2 linked regions of the Macaca mulatta genome follow. The protein of the gene in region 1 purifies or fractionates together with the protein of each later gene. This does not show direct contact. Links are inferred from orthologs where the notes say so. Each region holds a gene or a part of one and is shown on either strand. Other genes may lie near its edges.

Evidence for each region.
Region 2: the proteins of STAU1 (region 1) and NPM1 purify together in Homo sapiens (affinity purification with mass spectrometry; 3 studies listed by BioGRID and IntAct, with this or other methods). This does not show direct contact. The link is inferred for Macaca mulatta from reciprocal best matches to the Homo sapiens genes STAU1 and NPM1.

The regions. Positions count from the first base shown.
Region 1 is NC_133415.1:102,002,459-102,012,876, reverse strand, and holds the start of STAU1 (double-stranded RNA-binding protein Staufen homolog 1), read left to right. Parts: upstream 1-4,786; 5' UTR 4,787-4,905; intron 4,906-10,418. UniProt on the Homo sapiens protein: Binds double-stranded RNA (regardless of the sequence) and tubulin.
Region 2 is NC_133411.1:180,256,623-180,266,408, reverse strand, and holds part of NPM1 (nucleophosmin), read right to left. Parts: intron 6,841-9,786; coding exon 6,783-6,840; intron 6,146-6,782; coding exon 6,059-6,145; intron 4,535-6,058; exon of another isoform or gene 4,519-4,534; coding exon 4,417-4,518; intron 3,439-4,416; exon of another isoform or gene 2,128-3,438; coding exon 2,053-2,127; intron 1-2,052. UniProt on the Homo sapiens protein: Involved in diverse cellular processes such as ribosome biogenesis, centrosome duplication, protein chaperoning, histone assembly, cell proliferation, and regulation of tumor suppressors p53/TP53 and ARF.

The DNA.
Region 1 (10,418 bases):
TGTTTTTACTGCTTTGTAAATTATATCTTTTTTCTCGTTTCGTTTTTTTTCTCTTTTCTTTTCTTTTTTTTTTTGAGATGGAATCTCGCTCTGTTGCCCAGGCTGGAGTGCAGTGACATGATCTCAGCTCATTGCAAGCTCTGCCTCCTGGGTTCACACCATTCTCCTGCCTCAGCCTCCCGAGTAGCTGGGACTACAGGCGCCTGCCACCTCGCCCAGCTAATTTTTGGTATTTTTAGTAGAGACTGGGTTTCACCATGTTAGCCAGGATGGTCTCGATCTCCTGACCTTGCGATCTGCCCGCCTCATACTCCCAAAGTGCTGGGATTACAGGCGTGAACCACCGTGCCTGGCCTCGTTTTGTTTTTTGAGATGGAGTCTCACTCTGTGGCCTGGGCTGGAGCACAGTGGTGTGATCTCAGCTCGCTGTAACCTCCGCCTCCCAGGTTCAAGTGATTCTCCTGCCTCAGACGCCTGAGTAGCTGGGACTACAGGTGCGTACCACCACGCCTGGCTAATTTCTGTATGTTTAGTAGAGATGGAGGGGTTTCACCATGTTGGCCAGGCTGGTCTTGAACTCCTGACCTCAAGAGATCTGCCCGCTTTGGCCTCCCAAAGTGCTGGGATTGCAGGCATGAGCCACTGTGCTCGGCCCCATTATATTTTTATGTCTTCTAATTGTTGCTCTTAGATTCTGACATATCCCCAGGGTGCAGACCACCTCAAATAAGCTTGAGAATTACTTATTTAGGCCAGCAAGTAGTTCTCAACCTTGTTTTCCTGTGCTACACATACTACAGGTGACCCTGACATACACCAGTCAACCCTACAGGTGTTCCCTGTTTCTTCGGGACTTTCGCAGAGATAAGCAAGGCTGTAGTTTTTCAGCAGTCTATGGAAATTTATCATGTACCTGTTGTGTCCCTGACACTGTGTTAGGGGCCAGGGACTATCATGATGACTTAATACAGGGTGAGTCTCTGCTGTCATGGAAGTTGATCTCTTAGTCCTAGCCTAATATACTCAACAGATAATTGAAAAATTATGGCCGGGCGCGGTGGCTCAAGCCTGTAATCCCAGCACTTTGGGAGGCCGAGACGGGCTGATCACAAGGTCAGGAGATCGAGACCATCCTGGCTAACACGGTGAAACCCCGTCTCTACTAAAAAATACAAAAACTAGCCAGGCGAGGTGGCGGACGCCTGTAGTCCCAGCTACTCGGGAGGCTGAGGCCGGAGAATGGCGTGAACCCGGGAGGCGGAGCTTGCAGTGAGCTGAGATCCGGCCACTGCACTCCAGTCTGGGCGACAAAGCGAGACTCTGTCTCAACAAAAAAAAAAAAAAAAGAAAAATTATGAGGGTACAAAGTTCTACTAAGAGGCTATGAGAGTGGAACAGAGATAATTCATCAGAGGTTAACATTCACACTTGTAATCCCAGCACCTTGGGAGGCCGAAGTGGGTGGATCACCTGAGGTCAGGAGTTCGAGACCAGCCTGGCCAACATGGCAAAACCCCCATCTGTACTAAAAATACAAAAATTACAGGGCATAGTGGCATGCGCCTGTAGTCTCAGCTACTTAGGAGGCTGAGGCAGGAGAATTGCTTGAGCTTGGAAGGTGGAGGTTGCAATGAGCCGAGATCGTGCCACTGCACTCTAGCCTGGGTGACTGAGTGAGACTCTGTCTCAAAAAAAAAAAAAGGCCGGGGCCTGGTGGCTCACGCCTGTAATCCCAGCACTTTGGGAGGCCGAGACGGGTGGATCACGAGGTCAGGAGATTGAGACCATCCTGGCTAACACGGTGAAACCCCGTCTCTACTAAAAATACAAAAAAAATTAGCCGGGCTCAGTGGCCGGCGCCTGTAGCCCCAGCTACTCGGAAGCTGAGGCAGGAGAATGGCGTGAATCCGGGAGGCGGAGCTTGCAGTGAGCGAGATCGCCCCACTGCACTCCAGCCTGGGAGTGAGACTCCGCCTCAAAAAAAATAAAAAATTAAAATTAAAATCAATATCTCACAGGGCTTTTATGAGCTTTGCATCAGAGAGCCGAGATCACACCATTGCACTTCAGCTTGGGCAACAGAGTGAGACTCTGTCTCAAAAGAAAAAAAAAAAAAAGTCAATGTCTCAAAAGGCTTTTATGAGTTTTGCATGTTTCCATTCCTTAGTTCAAATGCATATAATTTATCTTGTGAGAAGGAACACACAGAATTTATCATAACATACTTAATGCTCACAGTTTCTTGTGAACTAAGAATACATAGCTTCAATCTTTTTCTCAAGATAAAGAAAAATAAGTCCTTAATTACTTAGCAAGAGTCAAGAAGTCTTCAGGATCTGGGAAGAGAATGACTGACAGTTTCTTGAAGAAAACAAATCTAGGTGACCTACTCCTGTTCAGGTACGGTGGCCCACACCTGGAATAATCCCCCCAGTACTTTGGAAGGTCGAGGCAAAAGGATTGCTTGAGCCTAGAAGTTTGAGACCAGCCTGGTCAACTTAGTAACTTAGTAAGACCTTGGGCAACTTAGTAAAACCCTTTCTCTATAAAAAAGGTAAAAAATTAGCTGGGAGTGGTGGCGCATGCCTGTGGTCCCAGCCACTCAGGAGGCTGAGGTAGGAGGATTTCTTGAGCTCAGGAGGTTGAGGCTGCAGTGAGCTGTGTTCATGCCACTGCACTCTAGTTAGGTGACAGGGCGAGACCCAGTCTCAAGAAAAAAAAAAAAGATATGTGGAAGGAGGGAAGAGGGAAGAAAGAAAATTGGGGCTGGAAGTCATAGACCCACCACTTTTGTCCCCATGGGTGATTGCAAAATCACCTTTGATGAGATTGTCTGATTGTGCACAGCTTTGGGTTTAGGGAGACCTCTCTGCATCTGCTCCTTTACCCAAGGAGGTATGGGATCCACACTGCTTGGAAGTTAGAAAGAAAAAAAAGATCACTTTTAGCAGAGGGCTGGACAATATCTGATTGTTGCTTAGTACTGTCTTGGATGGGCACTAAAGGAACGGTGAAAGTCCTTTGACTATTTTTGGTGTTCTGAAATTCAGTGTCTTTGCACTTCACAAGAAGCAATGTATGGAGGCCTTGTCTAGAGAACAGTGTCCTCCCAGGCTTGGCTAAGGCTCCAAAGTCTCGCTTGGAGGGGCTCCTTCAGACACAGCAGCTCGTATTTTGAATTTATATTCCCTTGGCAAGAGAGACTGAGCAATTGTTAGATTGAGAGATATTTAAGAGAGAGAAAATTATTTTTAAATAGTGGGGAAGCAGTCCTAGAGTGAGCAGGAGAGACAAGCTCTGTGTATTTGCAGTTCCTTCACTCATTCTCAGTTTCCTGGACCTCTTACAACACGAGCATAATTTTCACTGAGTCTGATCTCAGAAGTTCAAGATTCTTTTTTTCTTTTTCTTTTTTTTTTTTTTTGAGATGGAGTCTTGCTCTGTTGCCCAGGTTGGAGTGCAACGGCATGATCTTGGCTCACTGCAACCTCCATCTCCGAGGTTCAAAAGATTCTCCTGCCTCAGCCTCCCAAGTAGCTCTGATTACAGGCGCCCACCACTACACCCGGCTAAATTTTTTTTGTATTTTTAGTAGAGATGGTGTTTCCCCATGTTAGTCAGGCTGGTCTTGAACTCCTGACCTCAGGTGATCCGTCGGCCTCGGCTTCCCAAAGTGCTGGGATTACAGGCGTGAGCCACTGATTCTTTACTGGCCACGCTTCCTCCAACCTCCCATATAATACGGCTGCTAAAACCCACTTACTTAGTTTATCTAGATCTGGGTGAAAGAAATAGCAATCTAGCACTTCTTGTCTTTTTTTTTTTTTTTTTTTTTTGAGATCAAGTATCACTCTGTCGCCAAGGCTGGAGTGCAGTGGTGCGATCTCGGCTGCAATCTCCGCCTCCCGGGTGCGGTTCTCCTGCCTCAGCCTCCCGAGTAGCTCGGACTACAGGCGCCCACCACCACGCCCGGCTAATTTTTTGTACTTTTAGTAGAGAGGGGGTTTCACCGTGGTAGCCAGGATGGTCTCGATCGCTTGACCTAGTGATCTGCCCGCCTCGGCCTCCCAAAGTGCTGGGATTACAGGCGTGAGCCACCGCATCCGGGCTATTGTCTTTTATCTCACTGTAAAATTTTCTGATTTTATTTATTGTGTGTTTTACTCACACAAGAATGTAAGCTCTACGAGGGCACGGATTTTTGTCTGTTCACCACTACATTCTTAGCCCTTGGAGCAATGCCTTGCATACAGCAAGCATTTAATAAACATTTACAGATGAAGGAAGAAACAACTGCAGGAAGGAGAGAAAGGAGGGCCAGAGGCAAGACAAGAGGAAAGACCGAGAGAAGGAAGGAAAAAGGAAGTGGAGGAGGAAAGAAGGTAGGCTAGGTTCTCCCAGACACGCTTCAAGTCCAGCAGGCAGCACGAAACTCCCACAACTACAACTCCCGGCAGGCCCCGGGGCCCAGGGCGGCCCGCGGCAGCCTAGGCGGGACAGGGCGCCACTCCCGCTGAGCTCCCGGCGTGCCTTGCGAGCGCAGGCTCCGCCGCAGCGCCCGCCGGAACTTGTGGTCCGGGCCGCGGGTGGGGGGTGGGGCCAGGCCTGGAGGCGGGCGGGGGACGGGGGCGGGCGCCTGCCCCTCCCCCGTCACTTCCTGCCGGGCTGCGGGCGCCGGAGCGGCTCTTCAGCGTTTGCGCCGGCGACCGCCGCGTCTCTCTCGGCTCCTGCTTCCTTTGACCGCCCCCCCACCCCCCGGCCCGGCGGCGCCCGCCTCCTCCACGGCCACTCCGCCTCTTCCCTCCCTTCGTCCCTTCTTCCTCTCCCTTTTTCCTTCCTCCTTCTCCTCCTCGCCGCCACCGCCCAGGACCGCCGGCCGGGGGACGAGCGCGGGGCAGCAGCCAGGTGAGGCGACCGGGCCGAGCCGGGCCTGGCGGAGCCCGCGCGGGCGCCGCGGTGGTGGGGAGGTGGGCGGCGGGTGGGGCCTAGGCCTCGGCGGGCCCGCGCGCCCCGCCGCCTTCCCCCGGGCCTATGTAGCCCGCGGGGCCTTCCCGGAGGAGGCGGGTCCTCTTGCGCCCCCCGCCTCCGGGCGCCCTGAGGCCTGGCCTCGGGCGCCCCCATCTCCTCCAGCCCTCGCCGGTGTCACAAACAGGTGCCGCGGCCGCCTTTCCTCGTCCCGCATGGCGCGCGCGGGGATGCCGAAGTTATTCCCGGGGCTGGGGCGCGGGTTGGGGGGTGGACCGCTTCAGGTCCCCTAGGGCTGGAGCCTCTCAGTGTCGCCGGCCCAGGTCTGTAGCTTAGTGGTTAAGAGCACGGCCCAGGTGTCCAAAACGGGTGCCAAACCCGGCTCTGCCCCATTAGGCAAGACACTTAAACTCTTTGTGTCTTGGTTGGAAAGGGGGCTGCTAATACCGTCCCTGCCTCTTAAGACTGTTAGGGTTCAGTGAAATGGGGCGTGTAAAGCGCTTATCAGAGTGCCAGACGCAGAGCGTGTCCCAATAAACCGTCTGCATAATTTATTAGCGTGATATGAAGGTATAATTTAATGGACAGAGTGGATAGAAGTTGACCTACCTATCCGTTTGGGTTTCTTAGAGGCTGCAGTGTTCCGCGTGCCCATGTCCAGAGCCAGGGCATTGTTTTGAGTTCTTAACATCTGAAAGGGGCGTACGCTTAATTGGTACATTGTCGTTTGCAGTCTGTAAACGATGGATGCTATTTCTTTCCATGTCCTCCGCTTAGCCAACTGCAGGATATTCACCATCTCACGCAGGATGAGCAACCTGTCCATTTCCCCCCGCCCCGCCATCAGCCAGCTTCTTGTTGTCATTCCATTTCTGGGAAAGTTGCTGGCAGAAGCTTCCCTTGAGTTGAGCAAACCTATCTGGAGCACTTGCTGTGTATCAGGCTCTGAAGCGGGGTGTACGAAGATGGAAAAATTTGTCTGTCTGTTCTTTCTCTACACCTCGATAAGTTTTTTTCGCTGAAGCTTTGCTTATATTCCCCCCTCCCTGTTGGCTTTCCTTTTAAGCCCTTGCCCCGCCTCCGTGTTGCAGTATTGCTTGTGTGGAAGTTTTCTCCTGTTCCGCGAAGATACGTGCTTCAGTCTATTCTGCCACTGTTCTTCGGCTGTGTGGACGTTTTTAAGTTCACACTTCTCTTCTGCTTGTAGCTTTCATTGTTAAGAGCGTGGTGGAAAGAGTTCAGTCAGGTTCCTGGTTGATTTTGGCCTTTCAGGAATCCGTGCTTACCAAATGTAAATTACATTGCTACTTGTTGAGGTAAAAACTAAAAATACAGTTGGAGTGTAGAGGGAGCAGTTTCGGTTTTCCTGGTGACAGGTGGGATTTTTAGTACAGCAACTTTATTAAAGCATACTGGGTTTTGAAAAATTCTGTACTTAGTTTTATAGGTGTACTCTAAGGAAATGCAACTTATGGGTGTTCAATTTTATACGAGTAAGGAGTGTGTGTTTACCTCAGTGATCCTCCTGTATCTTAGGATTGTTTTAGGCATTAAATTTCTTTAGTGGACTGAAAATATTTTTACTTATACGCTTCTCAACACACATGCGGCAAAGTGGCCTCCTTGTTTTTGACATTTTCCTAGAATTTTCTGACAGTCTTACCATTGTTTCTAATTTAAAATATTTGTTTGAATTTTTTTTTTTTTTTTTTTTTTTTTTTTTGAGATAGCCTCACGCTATCGCCCAGGCTGGAGTGCAGTGGCACGATCTCGGCTCATTGCAACCTCTGCCGCCTGGGTTCAAGCGATTCTCCTGTCTCAGCCTACCGAGTAGCTGGGATTACAGGCGCCCGCCGCCGCACCGTGTTAATTTTTGTAGTTTTAATAGAGACAGGGTTTTGACATGTTGGCCAGACTGATCTTGAACTCCTAACCTTGTTATCCACCCGCCTCGGCCTCCATAAGCAGGTTAGGCGCGGTGGCTCATGTCTGTAATCCCAGCACTTTGGGAGGCCGAGGCGGGTGGATCACGAGGTCAGGAGACGGAGACCATACTGGCCAACATGGTGAAACCCCGTCGCCACTGAAAATACAAAAAGTAGCCGGATGCGGTGTCGGGCGCCTGCAGTCCCAGCTACTCGTGAGGCCGAGGCAGGAGAATCGCTTGAACCCAGGAGGCGGAGGTTGCCTGTGCGACAGAGCGAGACTGTCTCAAACAAACAAACAAACAAACAAAAAACCCAAAAAAACCACGTAAGCAAACAACTATACAAACAGTGTAAAGCATGTCTAATACTGCCATATCGCTATGGCATATTGCAATAGGGAAATGGTATTTTAAATACCATTTAAAAAAATCTTTTTATTCTGGAAAATATGTAAAACTCGAATAGTATGGAGAACCCCATGTATTAGTCACTCACTCAGCTTTGACAATTATTAACTCATAGCCAAGGTCGGTTTTGTTTCATGTTGTATCCCCCCACACAAACTAGATTATTTTGAAACAAATCTTAAACGTTGTATAGCAACATTAGCGATTTTGGCTTTTACCAGATTGCTCTTGATTAATGTCACAAAATTTACTTTTAGTAGAATAATAGTTCTCATTTTGTTCGTTGGGCTTCCCTTCTCTGTTTATAAATGGTTTCTGTACAGCAGAAAGGAAAAGGAAAATTAACTCTTGATTCAATGCTTTCAGCTCCTCAAAGTCAAAATACAGCCTTGCTTCTTTGTTGTGTACAAAAGCAAAAATTCTTGAGCTATTAATGACTGTAATTGAAAAGCAAACAGAAATACAGATCTCCCTAGTCCTGTTTGGCAGAGACCTGCCTGTTAACCCACTTTAATAGAGATAACTTTGTGTCAACGTTAAACTACAGTTAATAATTCGTAACGAAAACTTAAAAAGTTTCTTTACAGTAGTTGTGTAAAGATACTGCTGTTACCTTAGGTTAAGAATTAAGCAAAAGATAATCTTTTATCATAGAATTGTTTTCCAAAGAGCCCCCATGTGCTCTATTTCCAAATAACAAATTTAGCAAATATGAATGAAACCTTAATTTTTGTGAATAGTATGAAATCACAGCATGAGTGTTCACGTTTTTCTTTCTTGTGTCTAAAAGATCTCTCTTACAATGGAATTTGACAGGAATATTATAAATGTTTGTCATTGTTGCATAACTTTCAAATTTCTATTCATGAATAGTTTTCAGCTTTTATATCTGTAACGTTATTTCAGGTTTGTAGGTTTACTTTTGAGCTTGATCTGGTACAGTGGAAATGTTACATGTTACGTTTTAGTTATTACTACCTGGAAGATGGGGAAGGATACACCTCTTAAAATTGATTTAGGAAAGAAACACCAATTTAGTATCTGGGAAAGGACACAACACATTTTAGAAAATGTGTAGTGCTTCTCATTAAGCTTAAAGTAAAAATTATAAGCATTGAGAATTGTTACCATAAATAGAGTTTCTTCAGAATAAGTTGCTCTCTTTTATGCTTCAGCCAGAAAGCCCAGGTATATACAGATTACAGCAGATCCTTGAATAATGTTGTTTCAAGATAATGTGAGGAAAAAAACTGTTTGTGGAGTTTGCACGTTCTCCCTATCCCTGCATGGGTTTTCTCGGGGTACTCTTGATTTCCTCCCACATCCCAAAGCTGTGCACATGAGGTTCACTGGTGTGTGGAGCAGTGTGTGTATGTGTGAGTGCTTTCTGCAGTGGATGTCCTGTCCAGGGCTGGTTCCGGCCTTGCACTCTGAGCTGCTGGGATAGGCTCCAGCCACCCCAACCCTGAACTGGAATAAGTGGTAAATTTTTTTTTTTTGAGATGGAGTTTCACTCTTGTCGCCCAGGCTGTGTGCAATCTCGGTTTACTGCAGCCCCACGCCTGTAATCCCAGAACTTTGGGAGGCTGAGGCGGGCAGATCACCTGAGATCAGGAGTTGGAGACCAGCTGGCCAGCATGGCGAAACCCTGTCTCTACTAAAAATACAAAAAATTAGCCAGGCTTGTTGGTGGGCGCCTGTAATCCCAGCTAGTCAGGAGGCTGAGGCAGGAGAGTCACTTGAGCCTGGGAGGCAGAGGTTGCAGTGAGCGGTTATCATGCCATTGCACTCCAGCCTGGGCAACAAGAGCGGAAGTATGTCTCAAAAAAAAAATTATATCTACTTCACATTTATTTCAGTGTTTAATATTAGAAGTGTTTGGTCTTTATTTGAAAGTTTGGTGATGTTTTTCTGATGAGAAATATGCCCTAGAACCTAACTCTTCTTTGTATCAGTTAGCCTGTGTTAGTCGGAAGTCTCAGTTTCCCAGAACCTATCCCTTACATTAAGAGAGGATTTACTGTGTTTTAAGTTTAGAAATGGCCATGACTCATGGAACTCTCCTCCACCCCCATTCTAAAGTCCAGATCATTAATATCATTCTGGGTGTTATCAAACTGGATGCTGCTTCATCCCGTCTCTCTCCCCAATACCACAAGGTAGTCTTAGTTTGTAGGGCAGCTTTCTTTCTTTTTTTTTTTTTTTTTTTTGTGAGACCGAGTCTCACTCTGTCACCCAGGCTGGAGTGCTATGGCGTAGTCTCAGCTAACTGCAAGCTCCGCCTCCTGGGTTGAAGCCATTCTCCCGCCTCAGCCTCCCGAGTAGCTGGGACTACAGGCGCCCGCCACCACGCCCAGCTAATTTTTTGTATTTTTAGTAGAGACGGGGTTTCACCGTGTTGGCTAGGATAGTCTCCATCTCCTGACCTTGTGATCCCGCCCACCTCGGCCTCCCAAAGTGCTGGGGTTACAGGCGTGAGCCACCACGCCTGGCCTGTAGGGCAACTTTCTTTGAGCCTTTTTACTGGATTGAGTAAGAGTGTAATTCAGCATAAAGATGAAACTTTCATGAAAAAGGTATCTTTTTGTGGGATTCCACAAGCCAGTTCCAGAGTTTGTTGCCCAGGCTGATCTTGAACTCCTGAGCTCAAGTGATCCTCCCACCTCAGCCTCCTTAGTAGCTGCAATTATAGGCAGAGGCCTTGTTTTCATGAGCTTCTATTTGATGTCATATTTAGTGATGCAGAATTGTTCAGTTTGAGGAAGTATAAATTCCTCCCCTCTCAAGAGCTTTGAGGTAGCTTTTTTAGAGCTTTCAAAAATATTTAGAGAATTTTATGACAGATTTGTTTCACATTAGACCTATAACAGGTTATTTTACCTTGACTTCTGGTGATGGAGACATTTGTGGTTGAAATGCTTCTCGTGTAATTTTCTACATGAGGTTTTCTTTAAATAAAACTTCACCAGAATCAAGGCTGTATACCATTTGTGCTGTTCCAAAAAGTATAAATTGCCAGTTAACGGTTGAACTATGAGAGGGCATGTTAGTTGCTATGATTATTTACCCCCACCATTTTATTATGAAAAATTTCAAACATATTAACAAAGTTTATGAA
Region 2 (9,786 bases), on another chromosome or scaffold:
TGGGATTACAGGTACACGCCACCATGCCCAGCTAAATTTATTATTTTTAGTAGAGACGGAGTTTTGCCATGCTGCTTCCCAAAGTGCTGGGATTATAGGCATGAACTACCACGCCCAGCCAAAGATCTTCTCATCATCAGGTTCAAACAAATATACATTGTCACTGCTTGCATCTTGCATCTCTATGTCAAAGACGGGAAGCATTTAGTTTTGATAATCTCTAATAGTAATTCAAGTTATTAAACATTTACTATTTATTGCAGAAATTTCATTCTGACACGAGAATACTTTCAATTCTAGAGCAAGATAATACTTCTGGTAGGCTGGGCAAGGTGGCTCGTGCCTGTAATCCTAGCACTTTGGGAGGCCAACTTGGGAGGACTGCTTGAGGCCAGGAGTTCAAGACCAACCTGGGCAAAAATACTTTTAAAAACAAAATACTTCTGGTAGAAGTGCTGGTTCAGTAATTTAATAGCTACAAAACTTTGTAGCTACAAGCCTTTGTTATAAAGTACAGACGACCACTGCAACTTAATCATTAAATTATCACTTTCCTTGGCTGTACTTGAAGAAATGCATCTCTTATGCTTACTTGTTAGTACATATTGGTTATTTATGTCTGACTTTCCACTATTTTCAATATTAAATAACCTGTTGCATAATGCTTCAAAATAACCTGTTGTATAAAGTTTCAAAATAACTTATGCTCAATCAATGTTTAGTATGCCAAATAAACTCCCAAAACTCACACTTTAAACTTTGGGATTCAAATGTAGAGAAAAAACAGAATAGCAACCAAAAGACTGAATCTGATCATCTTAAAGCCCATCACTGCAACTTTAGCAAAGCTCAAGTCAAAATTAACCAAATCAAAGACTGAATCTGATCATCTTAAAGCCCATCACTGCAACTTTAGCAAAGCTCAAGTCAAAATTAACCAAATCAGGGTTTTACAAACCCAAAAACTAAAAATTAAGGTGCAATTAAAATAACTGACCTGCTAAATATTATGGCAGAAAAAAACCAGCTAATTGCCAAATTTTCTGAAAAAAGCTGACTACAGGAAACCTAAAAACCATTAAATGCAGCCATCGGTTCTCTACACGATACCTACCTAACGTCCCTATTTAACCACTTTTACATTTTCCTTACACTTATAAGTCAACTGTAAGGCCGGGCGCGGTGGCTCAAGCCTGTAATCCCAGCACTTTGGGAGGCTGAGGCGGGTGGATCACGAGGTCAGGAGATCGAGACTATCCTGGCTAACATGGTGAAACCCCGTCTCTACTAAAAATACAAAAAACTAGCCGGGCGTGGTGGCGGGCGCCTGTAGTCTCAAGCTACTTGGGAGGCTGAGGCGGGAGAATGGCGTGAACCCGGGAGGCGGAGCTTGCAGTGAGCCGAGATCACGCCACTGCACTCCAGCCTGGGAGACACAGCGAGACTCCGTCTCAAAAAAAAAAAAAAAAACAAAAAAAAGTCAACTGTAAATAAGAGCAAAAATAAATGCATAAACTGTATGTTGACGAAGACTTTCGTACTAATTGTAAAATCTAACAGCTAAACTCAAGCTTATATATCTAGTAGTAGCCACAATTTAGTGTCTTGCTTCCAGGTTTCACGTTAGGATGATTTTGGCAAAATGTATTTCCCATAAGATCTATGGAAAAAAAAAAAAAAAAGATCTCTACCAACTCCCAAAAAAGCAAAGACCAGACTGCCCCAAGCCGCCAAATGGAGCAACAAGGAAAACCACAGCAATTTCCTTAGCCAAAATAGTACCAAAAAAGTAAAACTGAATTCAATAACCAAGAAATAATTTGCCAACTATAGGAAATTTGGAAAAAATATACTAAAGTTATCGTCTCAGACTGCCAACTGTATTCTTCATGTATTTCATTAAATACATGAATTTTCAGATTATTTCATTAAATGAATTATCTGTGGCTAGGAACTTTTTAAAAAGAGCCAACACTTAAAAAGGGTAAAGGCAGAATCATAATAAATCACGAAAAACTTGGACTTCATCTTGTCCCCAGAAAATTCAGTTACCTCTTGGTCAGTCATCCGGAAGCAATTCTTCACATAATTGATGAACTTGGCTTCCACTTTGGGAAGAGAACCACCCTATTGAGACAAAAGCATTATTACAGGTAAGTAGAGAAATACACTGAGAGAGATACCTTTAGAAAATTCCTCAATAATCTGCAATGCTACTACATAGAGCAGTTTACTCCTTTTCCCTTCAACTTTCCAAGAATACTCAATGTCTTTTTCAGGGCCAGAAAGCCCTATTGGGCAGCATGGCTAGTATCTCTATTCAAACAGATTTGCCAAAGGGTCAAATCTTCCCAGACGACCTCTCTAGGAACATAAAATAAAAGCTACACTTGAGATTCTACAGACAAACATGACATGGCAACTCGGTTGCTTATCTGTATTATCTAACAAGCCGGTTTTATCACCCAGAACCAAACACAACCTGTAACACTCCTTTGGAGAACCATGTCAAGTGACCCAAACTGTTGTTTAAAAAAAAACAAAACCCCACAAAACACTTGTTGATCACAAACCAGTTCAGAACAACAATGATCTGGTCATCAGTTAAAGATATATAAAGTTGAATGGGGAAAAAATTACAGTAATTACATTTCACTAATCACTCTTACCATTTCCTTCAAATTACGGATATATGCAAGAAACTACAATGGGGGAGAAATTACAGTAATTACACTTCACTAATCACTCTTACCATTTTCCTTCAAATTATGGATATAGGCAAGAAACTACAACAGTGTTGGCGATACCTGTAACTTTTTGTCACCAAAATTTCAAAACATTACTATTGCAAATATCTTGAAATGTTTATTTATCACTACTTTGGAATTACCTTAAAGCACTGAATATATCTGTTTTTATTAAATTTAATACCTTTCCCTCTAAGTATCTTTTATGCATTTTTAAAAGATTGAAAAGGTTTTCAAATGTCCAAGGGACCTTGGCAGAATCAAGTATAGCATTAAGAAACTTAACTGCCTCCAATAACCTAGTAAAATAAACCTCAATTTCCATTTCAAAATTATTGTCACATACATTCTTAATTGATTCATTCAAATATTTATTGAGCAGCTAAGGAGATACAAAGGCGATTTAAAACATTGTCAGAGGTGAGGCAAATGCACAAGTAATAGAAAGCAAAGGGCAAGGTTCACTGAATCACAGCAGTCAGAAGAAAGTGCTTTAGGGAACCAAGAGTGAGATTGTTTCCAGCCTGAAGAGGCATGGGTGGCAAATCAGAAAAGGGGATTGAGATTAAAATAGAAGACTTCAGTCTGGATTGTTGATGACACTCAGTATGGACTATATTTGTCTCTCCTTTTCCTTTCTCCCCATCTTTGGGCTTAATTTACATGTAGTGCCCAGGGCTGTTCAATGCGCCTGCAATTAAACCAAGGAGATAGGACCATATTAAAATGGAGGGGAGGGGAATCTAAAATATGTCATTTCAGCATTGTATCCAAGGGACAAAAATCTGATAAGCAGGAAGGCTAAAGGGTTTCCAGTGTGACTAAAACAAGAAATATGTTCCAGTTCTAAAATTTTTTTTCCAGTGGACTTATCACTGTACAAGGAAATCTACACAAGCCAACAAAAAATCTATAGAGTACAGGAAAAACATGGGGAAATGAGTTGGCAATTTTTCCTTACCACCCCACATTTGTTCTCAATAATTGCAGTCTAAAAGTATTGTTCATTGAATTAAAGCTTCTCTCAAATGTGCTTCCAAGGCATTTAAACCATTTATTTCATATCCTACTCAAGTCAATCAGACAAGAGACCTAATCGTCTTCCCACATTTCCATTATTTAAGACAAAAGGAAACTAGATTTAAACCTATTAGTCATTCACAAAATCTATTACTACACGTATTTAACTGGTGACAACTTGGTGTAAAGGGCAAACAGAAATGTCTCAATCTGCTGAAAATTACTTCTGACTAGGGTCAATCATGAATATTTAACTATAATACCAACCAAACAGTCTACTTTTCCAGCTGTTTGCAATTTTAATGAAGTCTCATACGCCCTCTGTTGGTTCTCTAGCATATCTTACAACCAGAATAGGTCAAGGGTTCTCACTGATCTATTTTAACATGGAAGGTCAGAATGTTATCTTGCAACCAGTGCACTACATTCCTTTTATAATGGAAAATAAGGCATATTTAATTTTGCATATGCAAATCACCATAGACACGATTATAAATGTTTTATAATTCATTTTTAAAAAAATTCATACCACGAACAGGGCAAGTACATTAAACCAAAACAAAAAAAACAAGAAACATTCAAGTCTACGCAAACTAGACACATGCAATTTGAGCAGGGAGAAAGTTTTTTTTTAAATAACTTTACTCACTTTTTCTATACTTGCTTGCATTTTTGCTTTAATGTCTTCTACAGAACTAGGTCCTTTTGGTGTTTTAGGAGTTTTTTCCTGTTTTTTGAAGGATTCTTGTCCCTGAAAAGGAAATGAACTTCCAAAAGGTCATAAGAATAAATACAACTCCTAATTTAAAACCCATTCTATCTGGATTTCCTCAAATAGTCTTACAAAACTCCCTTATAAAGCTAATTATACAACTGGAATTATCAATAAATTCACACCATACAATTTTGTTCTTAAAAATCTTTCTTGTAAGATTAGCTAGGCATGGTGGTGCATATGCCTATAATCCCAGCTACTCAGGAGGCTAAAGCGGGAAGATTGCTTGAGCCCAGCAGCTGGAGGCTGTAGAGAGAGCTATGATCATACCACTGTACTCCCAACTGGGCAAGAGTAGGACACCCGTCTTTTTTTTAAAAAAAAAAAAAAAAAAAAAAAAAAAGGAGTAACTTGGGAGTTCACTTTTTAATGCACAATACTCAGTTCAAAAAATGAAATCAGAAGATCCCTAAGAATAAAGCAAGAAAGTCATTGCAGTCTGATGCCTGGGGCCCACCCCAGACCAATTTCATGATAATCTCCATAAGCAGAGCACAGTGTTGGGTTCTTTTAAAGTTTTTCTCCTTTAAATTCCATTTTCTGCAGGGAAGGGGGTAAGGCCAGAAAGGAGACCATCACACCCTGTCTGGCCCTAAATGTTCTACTTCAATCTAATGTGCAGCCAAGGTTGAGAATCTCTACTCTATGCAGGTATACTTTTCAACAAAGATTCCTTACAGGAAACAACTATTGACTTCACAATCATAAAAAATTCAAGCCAGGCGTGGTGGCTCACGCCTATAATCTCAGCACTCTGGGAGGCCCAGGAGGGCAGATCACCTGCAGTCAGGAGTTCAAGACCAGCCTGGCCAACGTATATAGTGAAACCCGACCTCTACTCAAAAATACAAAAATAAGCTGGGCCTGGTGGCACACACGTGTAGTCCTAGCTACTTGAGAAGCTGAGGGAGGAGAATCGCTTGAACCCAGGAAGTGAAAGTTGCAGCAAGCCGAGATCATGCAGCTCTAACCCAGACTCACTGACAAAGCGAGGGTCCGTCTCTCTCAAAAAAGTCCATTGGTTCCCCCCGCCACTGGAACCCCAGCAGCACATTACTTAGTATGTTTGTCTGTGTGTACCTATAACACATAACAAGCTGATTTTTTTTTTTTTTTTTGGAGGCAGAGTCTGACTCTTTCGCCCAAGCTGGAGTGCAGTGGTACAATCACTGCAACCTCCGCCTCCTGAGTAGGTGGAATTACAGGAACATACCACCATGCCTGGCTAATTTTTGTGTTTTTAGTAAGGACAGGGTTTCACGTTGTTGGCCAGGCTAGTCTCAAACTCCTGACCTCAGGTGATCCCACCAACCTTAGCCTCCCTCCCAAAGTGCTGGGATTACAGGAGTAAGCCACTGCGCCCGGCTGCAGCAAGCTGATTTAAACTTTAAAACAGCAATTACAGGGGTTCTATAAAGGCCTATGAAATTTCAGACACACTAGATTCTTCCACAACAGTAGAATCTTTTTTCCCCGACTGTATCAATGAGACCCATATGTAAATGTAACCACTTACTTTTGATCTTGGTGTTGATGATGGTTTTGAGTCTTTTCCATTCTGATTTGACTTTTGTGCATTTTTGGCTGGAGTATCTCGTATAGACTGCAATTAGAAATTTATCTTAATCACTGTCCCTGACCCCAGCAACAGTGCAAACAGTACTGTCCAAGCCATGTAAGAAAAGCAGCAACCACAGGCTGGGCGCAGTGGCTCACGCCTGTAATCCCAGGACTTTGGGAGGCCGAGGCAAGTAGATCATGAGGTCAGGAGTTCAAGACCTGCCTGGCCAACATGGTGAAACTCCATCTCTACTAAAAATGCAAAAATTAGCTGGGTGTGGTGGCCTGAGTCTGTAATTCCAGCTACTCAGGAGGCTGAGGCAGGAGAATCACTTCAACCCGGGAGGCAGAGGTTGCAGTGAGCCGAGATTGCGCCACTGTACTCCAGTCTGGGTGACAGACTCCGTCTCAAAAAAAAAAAAAGAAAAAAAGAAAAGAAAAAGCAGCAACCACTTGAATAAAAGGTTACACAAGACTAACAAATTGGGTGGAGGGCTACATGGATAAAGAAAACAGACCATTCCCCACTATAAGTTTTCTGTAGTCCTCCTCAGAACTAATTTTCAGTATGAGATGATCTCCCACACCAGCTTCCCTCAACTACAAAACAAGCAAATAGCACTAAAAAATTACTATTTCTATTGTTAGTTTAACAACCTTGTAGCATTGTATCTACTCACTTTCTTCACTGGTGCTTTTTCTTCAGCTTCCTCATCATCAAAATCATCATCATCATCACTACAAATGAAACATCAAGACATTAAGCACTTTCAAAATTTGGGAGTAGACACAAGAATTGAAAGCAGGACCTTGACGTGATTATTTGTGCACCGTGTTAATCGAAGCATTCATTGTTCACAACAGCCAAGAGATGAAAGCAACCCAACTGTTAAATGGCTGAATAATGAAAATGTTTACGCACACACGATGAAAATCCTCTTGCATGCTATATGACTGAACCTTGAACAAAGTAAAATAAGCCACCCACAAAAAAAACACTGTATGATTCTATTCATTAAGTATCCAAAAGTAGTCAAACTCAAAAGAAATGGAAGGTATAATTGTGATCACTAGGGGCTGGGAAACAAAGCTGCTCAATAAGTAGTTTTGCATGAATATACACTATGCCAATGTATAATATATGTATATTTAAGTAATGTACAGTTAAACTGTACACTCAAATAGAGTAAATTTATGTTTAAAAAAAAAAAACTAAAGACCTAAATAGAAACATTCCATGTTCAGATATTGCCAAGATGGCAACACTCCCCAAATACACAGGTTAAATACAATCCTTAGAAGACTCCCCAAGCTGGTTTCTCTGTAGAAATAGATCCTAAAATTTATATATAAACCCAAGAGTCGGCAGTGTGTCACAACTATAATCCTAACACTTTGGGAGGCTGAGGTGGGAGGATCTCATTTGAGTTCGAGACCAGCCTAGGCAACATGAGAACCCTCTCTACAAAAAAAAAAAATTTAATTAGCAGACGTGGTTGTGTGTGCCTGTAGTCCCAGCTACTTGAAAAGCTAAGGCAGAAGGATCTACTTGAGACTGTAACTGTGTAATTCTGCCACTGCACTCCAGCCTGGGTGACAGAGCAAGACCCTATCTCAAAGAACAAAAACAAAAAAAGACACTTAAGGGACCCAAAGAGGCCAAATGCAATCTTGAAAGGAACAAAGCTAGAGAACTCACACTTGATTTCAAAAAATCAGCTATAAGACCTACGAAGGGGTCAAGGCACCATGGCTGATGCTTGTAATCCCAATACTTTTTAGGAGGCCGAGGCAGCTGGATCACCTGAGGTCAGGAGTTTTGAGACCAGCCTGGCCAACAGGGAGAAACCCAGTCTCTACTAAAAATACAAAAATTATCCAGGAGTGGTGGCGGGCACCTGTAATCCCAGCTACTTAGGAAGCTGAAGCAGGAAGACCCGGGAGGCGGAGGTTGCAGTAAGCCAAGATCGCACCATTGTGCTTCCAGCCTGGATGACAGAGAGAGACTCATTTAAAAAAAAAAAAAAAAAAACTGCAAAGGAACAGTGTTGTAACTGTTCTTACCTGTTAAGGATAGACACATATATCAACAAACAGACCATAAATAAATACGTATATTTATAGTAAGTGATTTTTTTTTGTTTTTTGAGATGGAATCTCACTCTGTCACAGGCTGGAGTACAGTGGCGCAATCTCTAATCACTACAACCTTTGCCCCCCAGGTTCAAGCGAATTCTCCAGCCTCAGCCTCCTGAGTAGGTGGTACTACAGACACAAGCTACCATGCCCAGCTAAAATTTGTATTTTTAGTAGAGACAGGGTTTCACCATATTGGCCAGGATAGTCTCTATCTCCTGGTCGTGATCCACCTGCCTGGGACTCTCAAAGTGCGGGGATTACAGGCGTGAGCCACCGTACCGGGCCGTAAGTGACTCTTTTAAAGGTTGCCAAGATCCTTCAATGGGGAAAAAAGTTTTGGAACAAATCATTTGGGGAAACTGCTCATCTACACCCCAAAGTCTATATTTGGACCCCTCCATTCACACCATACACAGATATTTACTCAAAATGGAACAAAGCGCTAAATAAAGCTACAGGACAAAACTCAGAATTAAGGGGGTAAATTTTCACAACTTTGAATTTAGCAATGATTTCTTAGGATTGACACCAAAGGCACAAGCAACAAAAGAAATCAGACATAAAAATTTAAAACTTGGGTCAAAGGCCACCATCATGAAAGTTAAATGACAATTCACAGAATAGTGGAAGATAATCTGCAAATCATGCGTCTGATAAGGTGCTTGTTTGCAGAATGTATAAAGAATTCTTAGGCCCGGTGCAGTGGCTCAACGCCTGTAATCCCAGCACTTGTGGGAGGCCGAGACAGGCCTGAAATCAGGAGTTCAAGACCAGCCTGGCCAACATGGTGAAACCCAGTCTCTATTAAAAATACAGAAAATTAGCCGGGCATGGAAGGGATCGGGGGATGCCTGTAATCCTTGGAAGAAGCAGGGGAACTGCTTGAACAAGGGAGGAGGAGGTTGCAGTGAGCAAGAGCCAAGATCACATCATTGCACTCAAGCCTGGGCAACAGAAAGAGACTTGTCTAAAAAAAAGAATTCTTGCCAGGGCACAGTGGCTCACAGCTGTAATCCCAGCAGTTTGGGAGGCAGAGGGAGGTGGATCACTGAAGACAGGCATTTAACAACAGCCTGGCCAACACAGTGAAACCCCTTCTCCTACTAAAAATACAAAAATCATAGGAAAAAAAAAAATTCTTACAGCTCAGTAAAGACCAAGAGAAGTAACTGGATTTTTTAAATGGGTAAAGACATCTCTCCAAAGATATATGGCCAATGAATACATGAAAAGATGCTCTAATAAAGACTAATAATAGTCCATAGGTCTGAAATGCAATCAAACCCACAACTAGCACTTCATACCACCAGGATTAGTGAGTCAGATAATGGCAAGTGAGGGTGTAGTGAAATCAGAAGCCCCATACACTGCTAGTGGGAATACAATGGGTCAGCCACTCTGCTTTAGGTGTACACCCAAAAAAAATGACATGTCCACAAGCGTTCATAGCAGTCAACAAGTAGAAGCAACCCAAATGCTCACCAACTGACGCATAACCAAATAATATACCCATACAATGTATTCAACCATAAAAATAAATGGAGT